3 linked regions of the Anolis sagrei genome follow. The protein of the gene in region 3 purifies or fractionates together with the protein of the main gene of each other region. This does not show direct contact. Links are inferred from orthologs where the notes say so. Each region holds a gene or a part of one and is shown on either strand. Other genes may lie near its edges.

Evidence for each region. The genes of interacting proteins can lie anywhere in the genome.
Region 1: the proteins of MARCHF5 (region 3) and DNM1L purify together in Homo sapiens (affinity purification with western blotting, with the first as the bait; 3 studies listed by BioGRID). This does not show direct contact. The link is inferred for Anolis sagrei from reciprocal best matches to the Homo sapiens genes MARCHF5 and DNM1L.
Region 2: the proteins of MARCHF5 (region 3) and MFN1 purify together in Homo sapiens (affinity purification with western blotting; 4 studies listed by BioGRID, with this or other methods). This does not show direct contact. The link is inferred for Anolis sagrei from reciprocal best matches to the Homo sapiens genes MARCHF5 and MFN1.

Annotation. Positions count from the first base shown.
Region 1 is NC_090025.1:176,169,986-176,177,146, forward strand, and holds the start of DNM1L (dynamin-1-like protein), read right to left. Parts: upstream 3,007-7,161; 5' UTR 2,868-3,006; coding exon 2,766-2,867; intron 1-2,765. UniProt on the Homo sapiens protein: Functions in mitochondrial and peroxisomal division.
Region 2 is NC_090023.1:257,439,604-257,447,238, reverse strand, and holds the start of MFN1 (mitofusin-1), read right to left. Parts: upstream 3,007-7,635; 5' UTR 2,871-3,006; intron 1-2,870. UniProt on the Homo sapiens protein: Mitochondrial outer membrane GTPase that mediates mitochondrial clustering and fusion. Membrane clustering requires GTPase activity. It may involve a major rearrangement of the coiled coil domains.
Region 3 is NC_090023.1:187,038,634-187,045,764, forward strand, and holds the start of MARCHF5 (E3 ubiquitin-protein ligase MARCHF5), read right to left. Parts: upstream 3,006-7,131; 5' UTR 2,848-3,005; coding exon 2,804-2,847; intron 1-2,803. UniProt on the Homo sapiens protein: Mitochondrial E3 ubiquitin-protein ligase that plays a crucial role in the control of mitochondrial morphology by acting as a positive regulator of mitochondrial fission and as an important regulator of immune response.

The sequences.
Region 1 (7,161 bases), on a different chromosome or scaffold from region 3:
GCAGTTTGCCACTGCTTTACCTGCCTTGGCTCAATGCTATGGAATCATAGGTGTTGTAGTTTTACAAGAACTTTAGTCTTCTATCTCAAAGACTGCTGGTGCCAAACAAGCTACACCTCCCAGAATCCCATTAATATTCAGTCACGACAGCTAAAAAGGTTTCAAACTGCATTAATTTTGCAGTGTAGATGAACCTTCAGACTCCACATGCAACAGTGTTCTAAAGATCTATGTATTATCTTTGCATTTATGACACTCATATTGTTTCCTTTCAGCTTTAAGGACATCAGAATTGTCTTTCTAGCTCAGAGCAAGATCACTCCCATTTCCAAGAACAGCTATCTCAATGTCCCCAAGGAACCTCCTAACCAGCCTTTTTTCTGCCAGAACCGCCTTGGTGGTTTTTAAAAGTCTAAATCTAATACATAAGTCTGTTGCACTGAATACTAATAATGTAGACTGTTGCTGCAATCTTAAAGAGAGTATGTACTGTGTGGCATTGCAAAAGCTTCAGTAGCAATAGGACAGTCTGTGCCTCCAAGATGTCATCCAGGGCTGCTTTTTATCTTTCAGGAACAAATTGTTTAATTAGGACAGGATCTGAAAATCCTATCTCCCCACCCCACTTAAATCCTCCAATGTGGAACGCATCCCCTTCAACTGGGCAGCATGCCATTAAGCAGGAGACCCATAGGGATTGCAACGTGCTCTGAACACTAATAATTCTCCACTTAACCAACACTGGATAATACTTGCAATAAGCAGTAATAGGCTGAATATTCCTTATCCAGAAACCCCAAATCCTCCAAAGCACAAAACTGTCCACTTGGGGGGCTGGCATAGGGCACATTTATACTGTAAATGCAATTTGAAAACTGCAATGGCACAATGGTATGGTATTCTTGGGTTTGTAATAATCTTTGGCAGAGAAGGCTAAAGACCTTGTAAAACTACATGATCCCATGACACTAAGCTAGGGAAGTGGTGTCAAACTGCATTAATTTCACAGTGAATTTCACTCAAAGTGGCCCCTTTACTTTCTGATAGTTTAATGCATGCAAGCTTTGCTCCACGCACAAAATTATTTAAAATATCCCATATAAAATTATCCTCAGGTTATGTGGTTAAGGTGTATTGGGGGGAAAATCCAATTTAGCTGCTCTGAGTCCTTCAATGAGAGAGAGAGGGTAAATAAATAAAATACATATTTGGACTTGGGTCACAAGGGGGTCCTAAATGTCATGTATCCTGTATATATGCTATAGTATTGGACACCACTGATGAGATTTGGTTCTCAGCTGGTGAGTCCCCAGATGTTTTGGCCTTCAAATCCCAGAAATCCTAACATCTGGTAAACTTGTTGGGATTTCTGAGAGTTGTAGGCCAAAACACCTGGGGACCCACATATTGAGAACCACTGATGTAAATGTATTACCTAAACATACTGTGTATAATGCCATGATATGGGAAATTACTGTATTGGAAATGGAATTGGAAATATGATACTATGGAATTGGAAATTGCTGTATTTTAAAGTAATATTGGATATATAATAATATGGTACTGGAAATCATGGTATTGGAAATGGTATTGAAAATATGATACTACAGTATTGGAAATTGTTGCACTGGAAAATAATATTGGAAATATGATGCTATGGTACTGGAAATCATTGTATTGGAAATGGTATTGGAAATATGATACTACGGTATTGGAAATTGCTGCACTGGAAAACAATATTGGAAATATGATGCTATGATACTGGAAATCATTGTATTGGAAATGGTATTGGAAACTGTTGCACTAGAAAATAATATTGGGAACATGATGCTATGGTACTAGAAATCATTGTATTGGAAATGGTATTGGAAATATGATACTACAGTATTGGAAATTGTTGCACTGGAAAACAATATTGGAAATATGATGCTAGGGTACTGGAACTCGTTGTATTGGAAATGGTATTGGAAATAAGATACTACGGTATTGGAAATTGCTGCACTGGAAAACAATATTGGAAATATGATGCTATGGTACTGGAAATGGTTATGTTGGAAAATAATATTGGAAATATGATGCTTTGGTATTGGAAATGGTTATGTTGGAAAATAATACTGGAAATATGATGCTATGGTACTGGAAATCATTGTATTGGAAATTGTATTGGAAATATGATTCTACAATATTGGAAATTGTTGCACTGGAAAATAATATTGGGAATATGCTATGGTATTGGAAATGGTTATGCTGGAAAATAATACTGGAAATATGATGCTGGGGTACTGGAAATCATATTGGAAAATAATATTGGAAATATGATGCTATGGTACTGGAAATTGTTGTGTTGTAAAATAATATTGGAAATATGGTGCTATGGTATTGAAAATATGGAAATTGGAAATGAAAAAACAAAACAGTATTCCTATGGAAAGATTTAATCAAGTAATTATTAAGTGACAAGATATTGCAGGCCTTGCAAGACTTTCGCCTTAGTCTGGTGAAAAGCCTGGTCCCAAGCATTTCAGATTAAGGGAGAAGTACTTTTGTAGGCCAACACCCCAACCAAATAATAAAACCCCAAATGCAAATATTGATAAGAGTAATTAAAATAAAAGCCACCCTTGAGCCTCTCACTTGAGCACTCCAACAGCACCCCTAGACCTTCTGCCCAGGTGGAGGTCATCCTGGCTTAAGCCCCGCCCACTGTGGTGGCCCAGGCCCCGCCCACACGCGCCCAGGCCCCGCCCCCGAGCGGCCCGCCTCACCTGCGTGCCCACCACCACAATCTGCGGCAGCTGGATGATGTCGGCGCCCACCGTGTTGAAGACGTCCTGCAGCTTATTGATGACGGGAATCAGCGCCTCCATGGCGGCGAGCGGGCGAAGGAGGCGAAGGGCAATGAATGGAGGAAGCGGCGGCGGCAGGGAAGGGCACGAGCTCTGGCACCTTCCCCCGCCGCCGACCACTGGCGCCGGCCCCGCTCACTCCCGGCAGGCCCTACGCATGCGCGCCACCGCAGGAGGCCAAGCCTTCGCAAAGGCTGCCGGGAGTTGTAGTGCAGCTGCAATTGGGACCGTTGTTTCCCCCTAGAGGGCGGCGGGAGAAGCAGGAAACGGAGGCAGGAGGCCTCAAACGCTAGGATTCTGCAGGAGGATCTAAAGTGGGTACTAGGATAGACAGATACTCCAGTGATGAGGTACTTAGGCTGCATTATAGAGCCTTCTCCATTGTAGAAGGGATGCACTTTGACTCCAGGCTGTGAAATCATGGGAGTTTTCCAAGGCCAAAGAGTGCAATTAGAATAGAACAGGCATGGGCAAGCTTGGGCCCTCCAGGTGTTTTGGACTTCAAATCCTACAATTCCTAACAGCCTACCTGGAGGGCCCAAGCTTGCTATAAAGCAGTGGTTCTCAACCTTCCTAATGCCACGACCCCTTAATGTTATGGTGACCCCCAACCATAAAATTAGTTTCATTGCTACTTCACAACTGTCATTTTGCTGCTGTTCTGAATAGCAATGTAAATATCTATGTGGAGGCTGTGACAGACTTTGTATTTCTAGGTGCAAAGATTACTGCAGATGCAGACTGTGACCAGGAAATCAGAAGACGCTTACTTCTTGGGAGGAGAGCAATGTCCAATCTCGATAAAATAGTAAAGAGCAGAGACATCACACTGGCAACAAAGATCCGCCTAGTCAAAGCCATGGTATTCCCTGTAGTCACCTACGGATGTGAGAGCTGGACCTTAGGTAAGGCTGAGCAAAGGAAGATCGATGCTTTTGAACTGTGGTGTTGGAGGAAAGTGCTGAGAGTGACTTGGACCGCGAGAAGATCCAACCAGTCCATCCTCCAAGAAATAAAGCCCAACTGCTCATTGGAGGGAAGGATACTAGAGACAAAGTTGAAGTCCTTTGGCCACATCATGAGGAGACAGCAAACCCTGGAGAAGACAATTATGCTGGGGAAAGTGGAAGGTAAAAGGAAGAGGGGCCGACCAAGGACAAGATGGATGGATGGCATCCTTGAAGTGACTGGACTGACCTTGAAGGAGCTGGGGGTGGTGACGGCCGACAGGGAGCTCTGGCGTGGGCTGGTCCATGAGGTCACGAGTCGGAGACGACTGAACGAATGAACAACAACAACATGAATAGTAATGTAAATATCTGATATTCAAGATGTATTTTCATACACTGGACCAAATTTGGCACAAAGACCCAATACACCCAAATTTAAATACTGGTGGGATTGGGGAAGAGTATTAGTTTTGTCCTGTGGGAGTTGTAGTTGCTGGGATTTATAGTTCACCTACAATCAAAGAGCATTCTGAACTCCACCGCCTAGGCAAAGCCATGGTATTCCCTGTAGTAACCTACGGATGTGAGAGCTGGACCTTAGGGAATGGAGTTGAATCAAACTTGGCACACAAAATTCCCATGACCAGGAGAAAATACTGGGAAGGTTTGGTAGGCAGTGACCTTGAGTTTTGGGAGTTGTAGTTCACCTACATCCAGAGAGCACTGTGGACTCAAACAATGATGGATCTAGACCAAACTTGGCACGAATTCTCAATATTCCCAAATGTAAACACTAGTGGGGTTTGGGGAAAATAGACCTTGACATTTGGGAGTTGTAGTTGCTGGTATTTATAGTTCACCTACAATCAAAGAGCATTCTGAACCCTGCCAATGATTGAATTGGGCCAAACTTCCCACACAGAACCTCCATGACCAACAAAAAATACTGTGCTTTCTTGTGGTCTCTGGTGAACCCTCTGGCACCCCCTCGTGACCCCTCCAGGGGTCCCGACCCCCAGGTTGAGAAACACTGTTATAAAGGAACGTGATCCTGATACGGAGTTATTATAAGTATGCTATTCTAAATTACACCGCTGGTCACCACTCGTAACGAAATTACATATAGGTGAAGGGACCTTTTACGCTGTCAGGGGGGAAAATATATCACATATCCCACCTGCTGACACCAGTATAAAGGAATATAGGTTCTTTCACAGAGTGTTTGTATATATATATGAGGTAACGTGTGTGCTGTCGCACACTGGGCCTGTGCATATGACTGTAGACAGGACATAAATTCCCAACGGGACGCCGGGGCTGCCTCAGATTAAAGGCCTTTGGATTCCCCCCAAACAGAGTTCTGTAGAGGCTTAAAGTAAGTCCAACAAAGTTCTTTATTGATGAAAACAAACAGGTTCTTTAAAGCTTTCTTAACAGTCTATTGGCTCTTGCAATCTTGTTCACTGGGAACAGGCACTATCTTCATAACTGTATACTAACTAATGGGGAAATCCTTAACTTCTAATCTGGGCAGTCTGTACTTGCCTCTGTTGGCATGGAGCCCCTGCACCTGGTACCAACTGCGTCTGGCTTCTGCAAGCGGCCCTTATCAAGCAGAGCTTTGTAAACTTCCTTGGGAAAAAAGGAGTTCAGGTTTCAGTGATGGCCGGCTGAAGTCCCTCAGCAAAGGAGCTGTAAGGCTGCAAAATCCTCAGCCAAGCTGTGGGCTGTGTCTCCCCGGCCAAGCCGTGGGCTGTATAACCCCGGCCAAGCTGTAGGCTGTATATCTCCCTGGCCAAGCCGTAGAAGACGAAGCTTTCTACAGGAGCTCTTGGTTTCATGTCCTGTATGGAAAGCTGCTCTGTGTGGACTGAACTCAAAATGGCTTCTATTCCCACTAAAACTCAAAAAGGGGCGGGATCAGGGAACCTATCGATAATTGACAGGTGGCTTGCCCTATGATTGCAACCTATAACAGGAAGCCACCTTGCTACAAAATCCCAAGCCTGGGATTGCAAACAAACATTTAATGCAAAGCAAACAGAATTGGAGCTCCTGGTACAGCTGTACCAGCACAGTGTGTACTCTGGTAGATTTGCTGCCACCACCTAAAATACTTCAGGATATTGAAGAATGATTCTCTGAGGTTAACTTCTTCCTTGCCACACACTTCTCCCTTAGCTCCCTGAGATGACTGTGATGTTAAGATGTTAAAACAACTAGGATTATTCTCACAGGAATGAATTACAACCGAGGCTTCTTTAAAAGTTGAAATAGATAAAAGATTTATTGATAAGATCAAACAAACAACTGTCTTCTTTGATGAGGCACAAAAGCTTAAATGGTTACTACAGTACAGTATTCTTGATGGTTACTTTAAACAGGTTACTTGACTTAGTCACTCGTAAAACTCCTCACTCTACAATAATACAGTAGCAGTGAGTTCCCTAGACTAACCTACTCAGGCTGTCTTCAGAGCAATTAGCCCACTCTAAGCAGAGTTCTCTATGTGGCTAATCTACTCTACCCAGAGAGCAAAGCACTTGTGTAAGCCCACACAAGCACCCAGGTGACTACTTGACCGTCCTGGCCAATAATGCAGCCTTGCCTGTCACAAACGCTCTGTCAGAAAAATCCTAAGCCTAAAAATACCTCTCCTCTCTCTTCTGTTCCCAAATTCAATCTCTCTTCTTCAATTCCTAAAACCCTTCTCTCTGTGAAGCTGACACTTTTCCCTCTCAGGACTTAACTCCTCCCATCTGTCCTAACCAATCCTAAGAAATCTCCAGCTCCTCCCCTCTTCTCACTTTACCCTCTCAAGATGTCTGCTTCCTTTGCGTACACTCCCAAAACGGAGGCCTACCTCACTGATATCCCTGGCTTCTCCTTCAGCCTACTAGGTAAGAATCATTACACTTGCTCATGCCTATTATAGAGTTGGAAGCAACGACCTGGGTCATCTAGTCCAACCCCCTGCCATACAGGAAAAGCACAATCAAAGCACCCCTGGCAGATGGCCATCCAGCCTCTGTTTAAAGGTTTATAATAATATAATTATAAACTTTATTTATACCCCGCCATCATCTCCCCAAAGGGGACTTGGGGCGGCTTACATGAGGCCAAGCCCGGTAGTACATTACTTATTTACCTTATTTATATATTATTTACTTTATTTATATACCGCTTTTTTCAGCCCTCGGGCAACATTACAGCAAAATAAATACAGAGCGACAAAAATAACATCACAATAAAATAAGTAAAACCTAAAAGTACAATAAAGCAGTTCAAAGTAACAAAATGAAAAATCAAATGCAATGGGTGAGCCAAATGTATGACGTAAAATGATAAACCTCTGGATGAGATAA
Region 2 (7,635 bases), about 70 Mb from region 3:
AATGGGGACTCGGAGCGACTTACATGAGGCCAAGCCCAAATGACAATTACAATAAAGAAAAACCAAAACACAAATCGAAAATGTGAACAATAAATAATAACATCAGTGTTACATAAAACATATGAATACATAACAAAATAGAAATTACAATATGCACAGGCACAGTAATAATGGGTGTGCTACATGTAATGATTAAAAGATAAACTGATTAAAACTAATTAAAAACTCGGGCGAGATAAAAGAGAGAAGCAGTTTTCTTTTTTTCTTTTTGAGGTTTTCCTCCTGGAGCAGATGTGAAGACTGTGGCATTTCCAGCTGCCAAATACACTAAATTTACATTTCGATGGGCCCTTCCACACAGCCATATAACTCAGAATATTAAGGCAGAAAATCCCACAATATCTGCGTTGAAATGGGTTATCTGAGTCCACACTGCCATATATTAATTAATTAATTAAGCCATTTATATGTCGCCCTTCTCACCCCGAAGGGAACTCAGAGTGGCTTACAAGTTATATGTGCAACCTATATGTATGTATGTGCGTGTAGGCGTGTATACACACACTAGCTGTCCCCTGCCATACGTTGCTGTGACTCAGTCTGTGTATATGTGTTTTGTATATATATATATTTCTGTATGTGTGTTTGCGTGTGTGCACACAGAAACACACTAGCTGCCCCTGCCATGTGTTGCTGTGGCCCAGTCTGTGTATATGTGTTTTGTGTGTATTGTGTGTGTGTGTGTGTGTGTGTGTATGGTTTTGCGCATGCATTGTAATGCAATTTTTGTTTTTTAAGTCTCTTCTGTTGTGTTTTCCAGTGTTTTTATGAGCGATGGTCACTTGTTGGCCTGATAGGTGTATTGTGTCTAAATTTGGTGACAATTCGTCCAGTGATTTTTGAGTTATGTCAGTCCCACAAACAAACATTACATTTGTATTTATATAAGATACACACACACACACACACACACACACACACACACAATATATATATATATTCCATTTCAAAGCAGATAATATGGGATTTTATTCAGCTGTGTGGAAGGAGCCTAAATTATTCTAGCTGATGGGTGGAGAGAGCACTGAATTCAAATGAAATAATATTTCCCAGGACTGTGATTAAAATAACTCTTTTGAATACTGCTGTAGTTTTTTTTAATGTATTATTGGATGCTGAATTTGAAAAAAAAACCCCACAAAAACGCATTACACACAGATTGTTCACAAATTTCATTACTAATTTTGATGCCAAATTCATCATATTTACCTATGATATCAAATTGATGAGCTTTATGTGGGTCTACACACCGTATCATTCAGATTGAACTGCATCACCTTATAATTCAGATTAAACTGCTTTATGTGGGCCTACACACTCATCATATCATTCAGATTGAAGTGCATTATGTAGGTCTACATTCACATATCATTCAGACTGAACTGACCACTATATTATTTAGATTGGACCGCTTTATGTGGGTCTACACACTCACCATATCATTCAGATTGAACTGCATTGTGTGGGTCTCCACTCACCATAGCATTCAGGCTGAACTGACCACCAAATTATTTATGTGGGTCTATACACTTACCATATGATTCAGATTGAACTGCATCTAACCTGTAATTCAGATTGAGCTGCTTTATGTGGGTCCACATACTCAGCATGTCATTCAGATTTATTTATTTATTTATTTCAATTACTTCTACCCCGCCCTTCTCACCCCCGAGGGGGGACTCAGGGCGGCTTACAAACGAAGGCACAAGTCGATGCCTAAATCAATAAACAAACAATACATAAAAACAATTTAAACGATTAACAAGTTAAGAACATTAATACATAGTAAAATAGCAAAACAATCTCATGCTCAGTGTTCAGAGTCCGTTTATCCATTCCATTCCGTTCACCCTTGTTTATCGTCAGATCTTTCCTTAGCTGCCAGAATATCCAAAAGCTTGGTCCCATATCCACGTCTTCAATTTTTTTCTGAATGCCAAAAGGGAAGTTGCTGTTCTAAACTCCCGGGGAGTGAGTTCCAGAGGTGAGGGGCCACCACTGAGAAGGCCCTGCTCCTCGTCCCTGCCAACCTCACTTGTGATAGTGGCGGGGTCGAGAGCAGGGCCTCCCCAGCCGATCTTAAATTTCGAGATGGGATGTAGAGGGAGAGCCGTTCGGACAAATACACTGGGCCGGAATCGTATAGGGTTTTGTAGGTCAAAACCAGCACTTTGAATTGTACTCGGAATTGGATCGGCAGCCAGTGGAGCTGGCGTAACAAAGGGGTTAGGAATTGTGAGAGTTGAAGTCCAAAACACCTGGAGGGCCCAGGTTGGCCCAGGCTTGCTCTAGACATAGAAATACACGTGAAGTTGTTACCTAGATTGAACTGCATCACTTTATAATTCATATTGAACTTAATTATGTGGGTACACACACTATGATGATTTACCTATGATAGGTACCTATGATACCTACCTATGATGATTTACATTGCTTTAAAGATGGAGCAAAAAAGCCGAGGTCATGTTTCTGGATTTACAACTCCAGATTCCCATAAAACCTGTTTAAAACATGTTTTAAAAGTTAAGATCTGCAGGTCTGTGAAAACATATCAAGCTTTGGATAAAAAATAGTACATAGTAAGAAGAAGAAGAAGGCCTAGTGCAGCTAGAGCAGGCCTGGGCCAACCTGGGCCCTCCAGGTGTTTTGGACTTCAACTCCCACAATTCCTAACAGCCTGCCGGCTGTTAGGAATTGTGGGAGTTGAAGTCCATAACACCTGGAGGGCCCAGGTTGGCCCAGGCCTGCTCTAGACGTAGAAATACATGCGAAGTTGTTACCTAACTAAACCCTCCGCCTCCCCTCACCTGGCAACGGCTCCTCTCAGCTCCAGCAGCTCCCACTTCCGCTTCTGAGCAGCGCCTTCCTTCTAGGCTTCACTCACCCGCTTCCGCCATCTTGACTCCGGGCAGCAAACCCTCCCTTCTTCCAACTGCGCGTGCGTAGAAAGATAACTCCGCCCCTTTCTTCTCCAGGCTGATTCGCGCTTGCGTCACAAATCCTCAAGGACGGTCCTCGCGTTCCCTGCTTCCTAACTCTTCCCATAGAGTTAGGAAGCGATGTCATGCGGGCAATATTTCCGGTTCCCATTTGACAGCTGCCATGCAAAGATGCAGAGGAAGGGAAATTTGGATGAAGCAAAATCACTATATTCTTGTGGGTTTTTTCGGGCTATAGAGCCATGTTCTAGAGGCATTTCTCCTGACGTTTCGCCTGCATCTATGGTAAGCATCCTCAGAGGTTGAGATGCATCCTCAGAGGATGCTTGCCATAGATGCAGGCGAAACGTCAGGAGAAATGCCTCTAGAACATGGCTCTATAGCCCGAAAAAACCCACAAGAACCTAGTGATTCCAGCCATGAAAGCCTTCGACAATACAAAATCACTATACTTAGGGAGGATTGTATTAATGTGTTGTTGAAGGCTTTCATGGCCGGAATCATTGGGTTGCTGTGAGTTTTCAGGGCTGTATGACTACTTTCCAGTAGCATTATCTCCTGATGTTTCGCCTCCATCTCATAGAATCATAGACTCAAAGAGTTGGAAGAGACCTCATGGGCCATCCAGTCCAACCCCCTGCCAAGAAGCAGGAATATTGCATTCAAATCACCCCTGACAGATGGCCATCCAGCCTCTGTTTAAAAGCTTCCAAAGAAGGAGCCTCCACCACACTCCGGGGCAGAGAGTTCCACTGCTGAACGGCTCTCACAGTCAGGAAGTTCTTCCTCGTGTTCAGATGGAATCTCCTCTCTTGTAGTTTGAAGACATTGTTCCGTGTCCTAGTCTCCAAGGAAGCAGAAAACAAGCTTGCTCCCTCCTCCCTGTGGCTTCCTCTCACATATTTATACATGGCTATCATATCTCCTCTCAGCCTTCTCTTCTTCAGGCTAAACATGCCCAGCTCCTTAAGCCGCTCCTCATAGGGCTTGTTCTCCAGACCCTTGATCATTTTAGTCACCCTCCTCTGGACACATTCCAGCTTGTCAATATCTCTCTTGAATTGTGGTGCCCAGAATTGGACACAATATTCCAGATGTGGTCTAACCAAAGCAGAATAGAGGGGTAACATGACTTCCCTGGACCTAGACACTATGCTCCTATTGATGCAGGCCAAAATCCCATTGGCTTTTTTTGCCGCCACATCACATTGTTGGCTCATGTTTATCTTGTTGTCCACGAGGACTCCAAGATCTTTTTCACACAAACTGCTCTTGAGCCAGGCATTGTCCCCCATTTTGTATCTATGGCAGGCATCCTCAGAGGTTGTGAGGTCTGTTGGAAAATAGGAAAATGGGATTTATATATTTGTAGAATGTCCAGGGTGGGAGAAAGAATTCTTGTCTGTTAGAGGCAAGTGTGAATGTTGCGATTGGCCATCTTGATTAGTATTTAATAGCCTTGCGGTTTCAAAGCCTGGCTGCTTGCTGCCTGGGGGAATCCTTTGTTCGGAGGTGTTAGCTGGCCATTATTGTTTCATGTCAGTAATTCCCCTGATATTTGAGTGTTGCTCTTTAAAATCAGGACAGTAAATAAAGAGCAATAGCCTAAAAGGTCCATCGAACGACCTCCCATTAAAGAGCAACAATTCAAAGTGCTGGTTTTGACCTACAAAACCCTTTACGGCTCCAGCCCAGCGTACCTGTCCGAACGTATCTCCTTCTATGTCCCACCTCGGAGTTTAAGATCTTCCGGGGAGGCCCTGCTCTCGGCCCCACCTTTATCACAAGTGAGACTGGTGGGGACGAGGGACAGGGCCTTCTCGGTGGTGGCCCCTCGCCTGTGGAATACGCTCCCCAGGGAAATTAGGTCATCAACATCCCTCCTCTCCTTCAGGAGGAAGTTAAAAACCTGGATTTGGGACCAGGCCTTCGGGTAAGCCGGCAGTTGGACAAAGGACAATGACGACCAGAGTAGGAAAGGACAATGACAATCCTGGATGGATTATGGATTTATAAATCGGCGAACACTGACAACAAAATGATTTTATTGCTGTTAATACAATTGTTTTAACTATTGATTGTTTTAACAATTGATTGTTTTAACTAGTAATAACTATTGATGTTAAATTGTAAATTGTATATTGTTTTGTGAATTGTTGGGCATCGAATTGTGCCTTTTGTAAGCCGCCCTGAGTCCTCCCTAGGGGGTTGAGAAGGGCGGGGTAGAAGCACTCCAAATAAATAAATAAATAAATAAATGCAGAATTCCAGACAAGTCTCAATCAGGGCCAGCTAACACCTCCGAACAAAGGATCCCCAGGCAGCAATAAGCCAGGCTTTGAAGCTGCAAGGCCACTCAATGCTAATCAAGGTGGCCAATTGCAACATTCACACCCACCTCAAGCAGACAAGAGTTCTTTCTCCCACCCTGGACATTATTCCACAGATATATAAACCTCACTTGCCTAGTTTCCATCAGACCCCCAAACCTCTGAGGATGCCTGCCATAGATGTGGGCAAAACATCAGGAGAGAATGCCTCTGGAAATGGCCATACAGCCTGGAAAACATAAAAAAACAACCCGAGGATCATATTTATTTATAGAATTTGCACCCGGACTTTTTCCTCCGGAATGGGATTCACAATGATTGCATTCATATATTGTGCTTTTCTCCCAGAATGAGATTCACAATGATTTTATTCATTCAATAGATTCATATAGTTTCTACCAAAATAGGATTTATGGTGATATATATCTTTAAATTTATAGTCCATCTTTCTCATAGAATTTGATTTATGGTTATTTTTATTTGGTTTATTTATACACAGTACTACACCTTTCTTCCAGAATGGGATTCATGGTAGTTGCATATGAATTCATTTATTTTCCAGACTTTGTATACATCTCTTTAATTGGAGGTCATTCGATGGATCTGATTTCTGCATTGATTGCATCAAGAGACATTGCAACTAGTATCCAGAATGTCTTGAATATTTGCCTTTCTTTAAAATATATATACCTTTATTGAGATTTTCTATAACATGACTAAAATCTAAAAGTGGCCTTGAAAGAAAACGGAGAGAAAGAAAGAAAAATAAAGTAATAATAATAATTTTAAAAATAAGAATAAAAATAAAGATGAAGAAAAAGGAAAAAAAATGGAATTAAATTTGGTTTTTTCTTCGTGACTTCCAGAGTATCTTCTGTGAGGTGTCCTCCTTTTCCATTTTTAAGGGAAGCAGCTGATAGCAGTCTGTGATCTTGCACAACCCATAGTGGTTGCTTCTGAGTAGATAGGCAATGGTTTGCTTAAGTGTTGGGGCAGAAGGTTGTCTTATGTAGCAGGTGTATCTTTTGTGCTCCAATGGCAGTTGTACAATAGACGCACAATGTTCTTGATTTTTAAAAGAAACTAACCCACATCAAAAATTCAAGTGTATTTTACATATACATACACTTGTTATTTTACATATTCCAGATCTGAGTATTGCTGTTAAAATTAAGATGGGAAACTTTTGTTTTGAGTCATTATACATTATGCTTGCATGGCTGAAATGTTTTGTGAGTTCACAGAATTTGCCTGAAATTCTATCAACACTTAGCACCTGCAATTTTGTTACCAGCTGGAACAACTTTCCATTCTGAAGAAACTTCTATGCATCACTGAAGTCTGGAAATGTAAAGGCTCATACATTTTAGACTAGTTTGTTTTTTTATTTATTTTTTAAATAAAGTATTTTGACACATAGATAAAAAAAATGTAATGATGACATAAATGTGCATTTTTATTTTCCATTTCAGGCCTTATTCACAAGTCTACGCCATGTTTCATTACAAAACATTACTTGTTCTTTGCACTCAGGACTAAATGCCATCCTGAACATTTTGAAAGCTTTGGGTTCAATGTCTATTCATAGAATCATAGAGCTGGAAGAGACCTCGTAGGCCATCCAGTCCAACCTCCTGCCAAGAAGCAGGACAATCACATTCAAAGCATCCCCAACAGATGACCATTTTTGTTTAAAAGCCTCCAAAGGAGCATTCACCACACTTTATTCACACAAAATAATTTGTGTAATCAAATATTATTTAAGACAACAATTCTATGTGCATTCCGCACAGAGAAAAATGTCTCTGACACACTGGAACACACTTCTAGAAAACATACAGGTAATATTTCACTCATTTTTCTATCCTACATTTGAGGCTTAAATAAAATGGAAATACAGGCAGTTGTAGGCTTCATTGGATTCATAAGTATAAAAACAACACGTTCTCAATGTCACAACTTGACAATAAACCATAAACAAATGCTTTCGTCTTTTCTAGTGACAGCAGTTACAAAGAAACTTTTACTAATGGTTCAGACACAGTAGTTATTCTAGATTCTGAATGTGAGTAGGAGTCATGAAGCTATCCAGATATTTGACCGTCCCACCAGTCCTTGCTAGCAGTTGATGCTGGGATTGATAGTCCAACACTATCTGTCCAGCTGCACTCCTGTTCTAAAAGCTTTCCCCAAACATAATCATAATTTGGCATTTTTGCTATCTGAAGTGTTTAGTCCGACACCATTTATTCAGCTGCACTTCTGTTCTAAAAGCTTTCCCCAAACATCATTATAATTTGGCA
Region 3 (7,131 bases):
ATTTATAGTTCACCTATAATCAAAGAGCATTCTGAACTCCATCAATGATGGAATTGAACCAAACTTGGCAAATAGAACTCTCATGACCAACAGAAAACATTAGAAGGGTTTGGTGGGCACTGACCTTGAGTTTTGGAGTTGTAGTTCACCCATATCTAGAGAGCACTGTGGACTCAAATAATGATGGATCTGGACCAAACTTGGCACGAATACTCCATATGCCAAAATATAAACACAGATGAAGTTTGGGAGAAATAGACCTTGACATTTGGGATTAGTAGTTGCTGGGATTTATAGTTCACCTACAATCAAAGAGCATTCTGAACTCCACCAACTACTGCATTGGGGCAAACTTCCCACACAGAACTCCCAAGACCAACAGAAAATATTTAAGGCCATCCAGTCCAACTTCCTTTACCAGGGCAAGAAAAAATAATCAAAGCCCTCCTGACAAAGAGCCATCCATTCATAGATATAGAGAGATATATATGACTCACACACACACACAAATATAGTATCATAGATTTGAAAGGAACCTCTAAAGAAGGACAATTATATGTTGAATGTTCCAGAGGAGACAAACAGACAATCTCCACATCAACACTGACAAAGAAACAGCAAGAAATACTGTTTACCCAACAAGCATAAAGAAATTACATATATTAGAAACCAACACTTCCTCATTACTTTATTTACCAGATCAACAAACTGGGCCACAGCAACGCATGCAGGGGACAGCTAGCATATATTGTTGTTGTTCATTCATTCAGTTGTCCCCGACTCTTCGTGACCTCATGGACCAGCCCACGCCAGAGCTCCCTGTCAGCCGTCACCACCCCCAGCTCCTTCAAGGTCAGTCCAGTCACTTCAAGGATGCCATCCATCCATCTTGCCCTTGGTCGGCCCCTCTTCCTTTTACCTTACACTTTCCCCAGCATAATTGTCTTCTCCAGACTTTGCTGTCTCCTCATGATGTGGCCAAAGTACTTCAACTTTGTCTCTAGTATCCTTCCCTCCAATGAGCAGCCGGGCTTTATTTCCTGGAAGATGGACTGGTTGGATCTTTTCGCTGTCCAAGGCACTCTCAGAACTTTACTCCAACACCACAGTTCAAAAGCATCTATCTTCCTTCGCTCAGCCTTCCCTAAGGTCCAGCTCTCATATCCGTAGGTTACTACAGGGAATACCATGGCTTTGACTATGCGGATCTTTGTTGCCAGTGTGATCCTGGACTCACCGCTGAGCCTGGAACCCCAGGTCTCGGCGGTGGCCGGGAGAGCTTTTGTGCAATTAAAACTTGTGCACCAGTTGCGCCCATACCTTGGGAAGTCTGATCTGGCCACGGTGATCCACGCTCTTGTTACATCCCGAATAGACTACTGCAACGCTCTCTACGTGGGGTTGCCCTTGAAGACTGTTCGGAAACTTCAACTAGTCCAGCGAGCGGCAGCCAGACTGCTCACCGGAGCGACATACAGGGAGCATACCACCCCCATCCTGTGTCAGCTCCACTGGCTGCCGGTCCAGTTCCGAGCACAATTCAAGGTCCTGGTTTTGACCTACAAAACCCTGTACGGTTCCGGTCCAGTGTATCTGTCCGAACGTATCTCCCTCTACGTCCAACCCCGGAGTCTGAGATCATCTGGGGAGGCCCTGCTCTCGACACCACCACTGTCACAAGTGAGTCTGGTGGGGATGAGGAGCAGGGCTTTCTCAGTGGTGGCCCCTCACCTGTGGAACTCACTCCCGGGGGAAATCAGGGCATCATCATCCCTCCTCTCCTTCAGGAGGAGGGTGAAGACGTGGTTATGGGACCAGGCCTTTGGGCAATCTGGCAATTAAATAAGACAATCAGGCGAGTAAGACCAACAGGATTGACGAAGTGGAACTGAAAATTAGAACTATGAGTTAGCGAACACTGACCATGTAGGAGAAGGAATTGGGTTTGTATTGCTTTTATTGATTTTATTGGTATAATGCATGAATTGTTGTTAACTGTGAATTGATGTAATTTTGTGTTTTGATTGTTCTGTGATGCAGGCATCAAATTGTGCCTTTGCTTTTGTAAGCCGCCCTGAGTCCCCTTCGGGGGTGAGAAGGGCGGGGTAAAAGAACCCCGAAATAAATAAAAAAAATGTCTCTACTCTTCACTATTTTATCGAGATTGGACATTGCTCTCCTCCCAAGAAGTAAGCGTCTTCTGATTTCCTGGCCACAGTCTGCATCTGCAGCAATCTTTGCGCCTAGAAATACAAAGTCTGTCACGGCCTCCACATTTTCTTCCTCTATTTTCCATATATATATATATATAAGCTAGCATATATATATATATATATATATATATATATATGAATCTCACTTGCCTACTTTCCAACAGACTTCACGACCTCTGAAGATACCTGCCATAGATGGCACTACCAGGCCATCAAATGCTAATCAAGGTGGTCAGTTGAAACATTCACACCTAGCTCCAATAGACAAGAGTTCTTTGTCCCACCCTGGTCATTTCACAGATATATAAATCCATTTTCCTAGTTCCAACAGACCTCACTACCTCTGAGGATGCTTGCCATAGATGCAGGCGAAACGTCAGGAGAGAATGCTTCTGGAGCATGGCCATACAGCCCGGAAAACTCACAACATCCTGGTTGGGTAGATTATTGAGGGAATCTCCAACCTTCCAGTCAGCAAGATTTCTTAATTGTGTCCCCAAAGGCTCCAGTCGTCCCGGTGTCTATGGCGCCCACCCTCCTCCTCCTCCACCACCACCACCAAGGCCGCCTCTCCCCCTTCGCTTTATTACCTGTCCAGGCTCTGCGGCATCACCAAGCCCGTCTGTTCCGACATCCTGAGGTGGCGAGGGGAGAGGGGGACAAGGCCCCAACCGCCGGCGCGAGGAGGGAGACACAAGGTGAGCACGGGGGCCCCTCGAAAATAACACCCGAGGAGGAGGACGACGCAGGGCCTAAGAGGGAGCCACTGCGCATGCGCCGGCGCTTACCTCACAGAGGGACGGACTCCCCGCGGCGCCTCGGGTCCCGACTTCTCCTCCTCCCTCATTCACTCACTCCAGCGAGGTACCGCCCCCCTCCCTCTCTCCCGAGGCACTATGGGAAATGTAGTTCCCGTCGCGAGTGTGCCCTGAGGGGATTTAAATCCCCCTCCCCTCTTCCCTCCTCCTGCTCTCGCGCTTCACCGTTGGGCTGTTCCGTTCAGCCGCCACCCCCCCCTCCCCTCCCCTGCGCGAGACGGCTTTGTTTATGTGTCTTTAATGGGAGGAGGAGGAGGAGGCGGCGAGATGGCCACGCGCGCTGAGGGAAAGGTCAGCCCCCTGGGCCGCTGTCACTTTGGGGGAGGGGAGGGGAGGGAAGGGGGTAGTTCGTTCCTCACTCGTTCCTTGTCGTTACTGTGAGGGGCGGGAAAGGAGGGTGGGGGCCTCGTAGGCAGCCCTTCTTTGGCACCCTCAAGCAGGAGGCGAGGGTGAGGCGCTCCTGGAGGGTTGCTAGATATAGCTGTTGTTCTCTAGATTGATTATTTATTTATTATTTATTTAGATTTATTTAGATTGATATTATTATTGATATTATTATTTATTTAGATTGATACCCTGCTTTCTGTCTTCTTCATTCCATTCTCATTCTCTTTGCTTGGACTCCACTTTCTCTCCTTTTCATTTCATTATTATATTCATTATTTGCATTATTATATTATTATATTTATTTATTTGGGGCGCTTCTACCCCACCCTTCTCAACCCCCTAGGGGGGACTCAGGGCGGCTTACAAAAGGCACAATTCGATGCCCAACAATTCACAAAATACAATACAATATACAATACACAAATTTGCCATATAATGTCAGTTATAACTAATTAAAACAATCAAACAGTATACTAGCAGCAATAAAAACATCTTGTGGTCAATGTTCACCAAATCCAAGTCCGTAAACCATCTATCATCGTCATTGTCCTTTCCTACTCTGGTCATTATTGGTTGTCTTTGTCCATCTGCCAGCTTACCTGAAGGCCTGGTCCCACATCCAGGTTTTTAGCTTCCTTCTGAAGGAGAGAAGGGATGTTGATGTCCTAATTTCCCCAGGGAGCGCATTCCACAGGCGAGGAGCCACCACCGAGAAGGCCCTGTCCAGGCCCGTAGCCAGGATTTCGTTTGGGGGGGGGGCTGAGTCTGAGTGAAAGAGGGTCTAGCCTAGCAAACCTTTTGTATCATTACCCCAATACCCCCATGCATATGGGATATATTGAGTATGGTGATAAGATCATGATATGAATAAACATAACAGTTTAAATAATGCACCAGTAAGGCCTTTTCGCGAACCACCATGAGAATTTCGGGGGGGGGGGGGCTGAAGCCCCCCGAGCCCCCCCCCCCCCCGGCTACATGCCTGGCCCTGTCCCTCGTCCCCACCAGTCTTGCATGTGATAAAGGTGGGGCCGAGAGCAGAGCCCCCTCAGCAGATCTTAAACTCCGGGGTGGGACATAGAAGGAGATATGTTCGGACAGGTACACTGGGGCGGAGCCATATAGGGTTTTGTAAGTCTAAACCAGCACTTTGAATTGTGCTCGGAATTGGATCGGCAGCCAGCGGAGCTGACATAGGAGGTGGGTGGTATGCTCCATGTATGACACTCCGGTGAGTAATCTAGCCGCCGCCCATTGGACTAATTGAAGTTTCTGAACAGTCTTCAAAGGCAACCCCACGTAGAGCACGTTGCAGTAATCTATTCAGGATGTAACAAGACAATTATTAATTTAATTGTCATTATAATTATTTGGGCTCTTTCCCCCCTCCTTTTAATTCCACTATTATATTTATTATTTGTATTACTATTATATTTAGTATATGTATTATTATATTTATGACTAGCCGTCCCCCTGCCACGTGTTGCTGTGGCCCAGTTTATATATAATAATAATAATAATAATAATAATAATAATAATAATGTATTGTCGAAGGCTTTCATGACCAGAATCACTGGGCTGTTGTGGGTTTTTTCGGGCTATATGGCCATGTTCTAGAGGCATTCTCTCCTGACGTTTCACCTGCATCTATGGCAAGCATCCTCAGAGGTTGTGAGGTCTACACTGTGGTTTTTGAGTTATGCTAATCCCACAAACGAACATTACATTTTTAATTATATTGATTATTATTAATGCCATTGTCATTATATTTACTAGTACTCCAAATCCCCTCTTTTAAAGTCCATTATTATATTTATTATTTGCATTATTATTATTATTATTATTATATTAATTTAATTGTCATATTTATTTGGACTCTTCATTCACTCCTTTTATTTCTATTATTATATTTATTATTTGTATTAGTATTGTATTCAGTATATGTATTATTAATGCCATTGTCATTATACTTGCAAGTACTCCAAATTCTCTCTTTTAAAGTCCATTATCATATTTATTATTTGCATTATAATTATATTACTATTATTATTAATTTAATTGTCATTATATTTATTTGGACTCTTCTTTTTCTCCTTTCAATTCTATTATTATTATTATTATTATTATTATTATTATTATATTTGTTTACTCCACTTTCCCTCCTTTTAATTCTATTATTAGCTATATTATTTATATTTTTATTATTATATTTATTATTAATTCTATTATCATATTTATTTGGACTCTTCTTTTATTCCTTTTGATTATATTATTATTATTATTATTATTTGAAACAGAATAAGATGAGTCCACAGCAGACAAGATCACTCTGCTGGTTGTTGCATTGGATCACGCACCGGACACTTCCCAATTGTCTAGGACTGTGTGATGTATTGGCAAATAATGTGTGCAGATCCCAGTAAGGTGGCCTTCTGCAGCTGACAGATGGTAATTTTGTCAGCGCCGATTGTGTTTAAGTGCAGACCAAAATCTTTAGGCACTGCACCCAGTGTGCCGATCATATTACTATTACTATTACTATTATTATTATTATTATTATTATTATTATTTGTTCTCCGCTTTCCCTTCTTTTAATTCCATTATTATTTTTACGTTTATTTCTACTCTGCTTTCCCTCCTTTTCATTGCATTATTATTGTTAGTATTATATTTATTACTACTACTACTACTACTATTAGTACTAGTAGTACTGCCCTTTATCTCTTCTTAATTCCATTATTATCATATTTATTTATTTAGTTTGCTTTCCAACCCAAAATTGGGACTCACTACAGTGGAGATTTATGGTCTCTGAGGAGCCCTCTCTCCTCCCTTTCCTAACTTCCGCACTGTTACATATATGCCTGCCTGCCTTCCTTCCTATCATTATTATTATCTTTATCATTACTATTACCTCCTTTGCCCCTCCCACAAACTGGGACTCAATTATTTCACTGTAGTGGTTATCTCACTGTAGTGGTTATCTCACTGTAGTGGATATTTATGGTAGGTGGAGATCCTTCTTCCCACCCTTTCCTGCCAAAAAGTACACCCGATGATGATGATGATGATGATGATGATGATGATGATGATGATGATGATATATTTCATTCATCCCCAAATTGGGACTCAAAACAACTGTCTCTTTGTAGTGGAGGTTTATAGTCACTGAAGATCCTTCTCCTTTCTCTTTTCTGCCTCCACTGCTGGTACAGATATACCTCTTTTTCATATTTATTATTATATTTATACCCCACGTTCACCCCCTAAATTAGGACTCATAGTGACTGTCTCACTATATCTGAGATTTATAGTCACCGAGGATCCTTCTCCATTCCCTTCCCTGTCTTCCATGCTGTTACAGGTGCACATTTTCTTAAATTCCATTATTACAGTCTTTGTCTCCTTCTCCATATCCTTCTCCCCTCCCCTACAAAAAATTGGGACTCATAGAGGGTGTTACACTACAGTGGAGATTTATGGTTGCTAAAAACCCTTCTTCCCTTCCTTGTCTGCCTTGTTACAGATGCACTTCTTTTTACATCTGTTATAATTATATTACTATATTTTTATTCTGCTTTCACCCAATTTGGGACTCAACAGTGGCCATCTCACTTGTAGTGGAGATGTATCATCACTGGAGATCCTTTTCCTCTCCCTTGCCTGTCTTCACACTGTTACAGGGGTGCCTCTCATTGTTGTTGATGATGTTG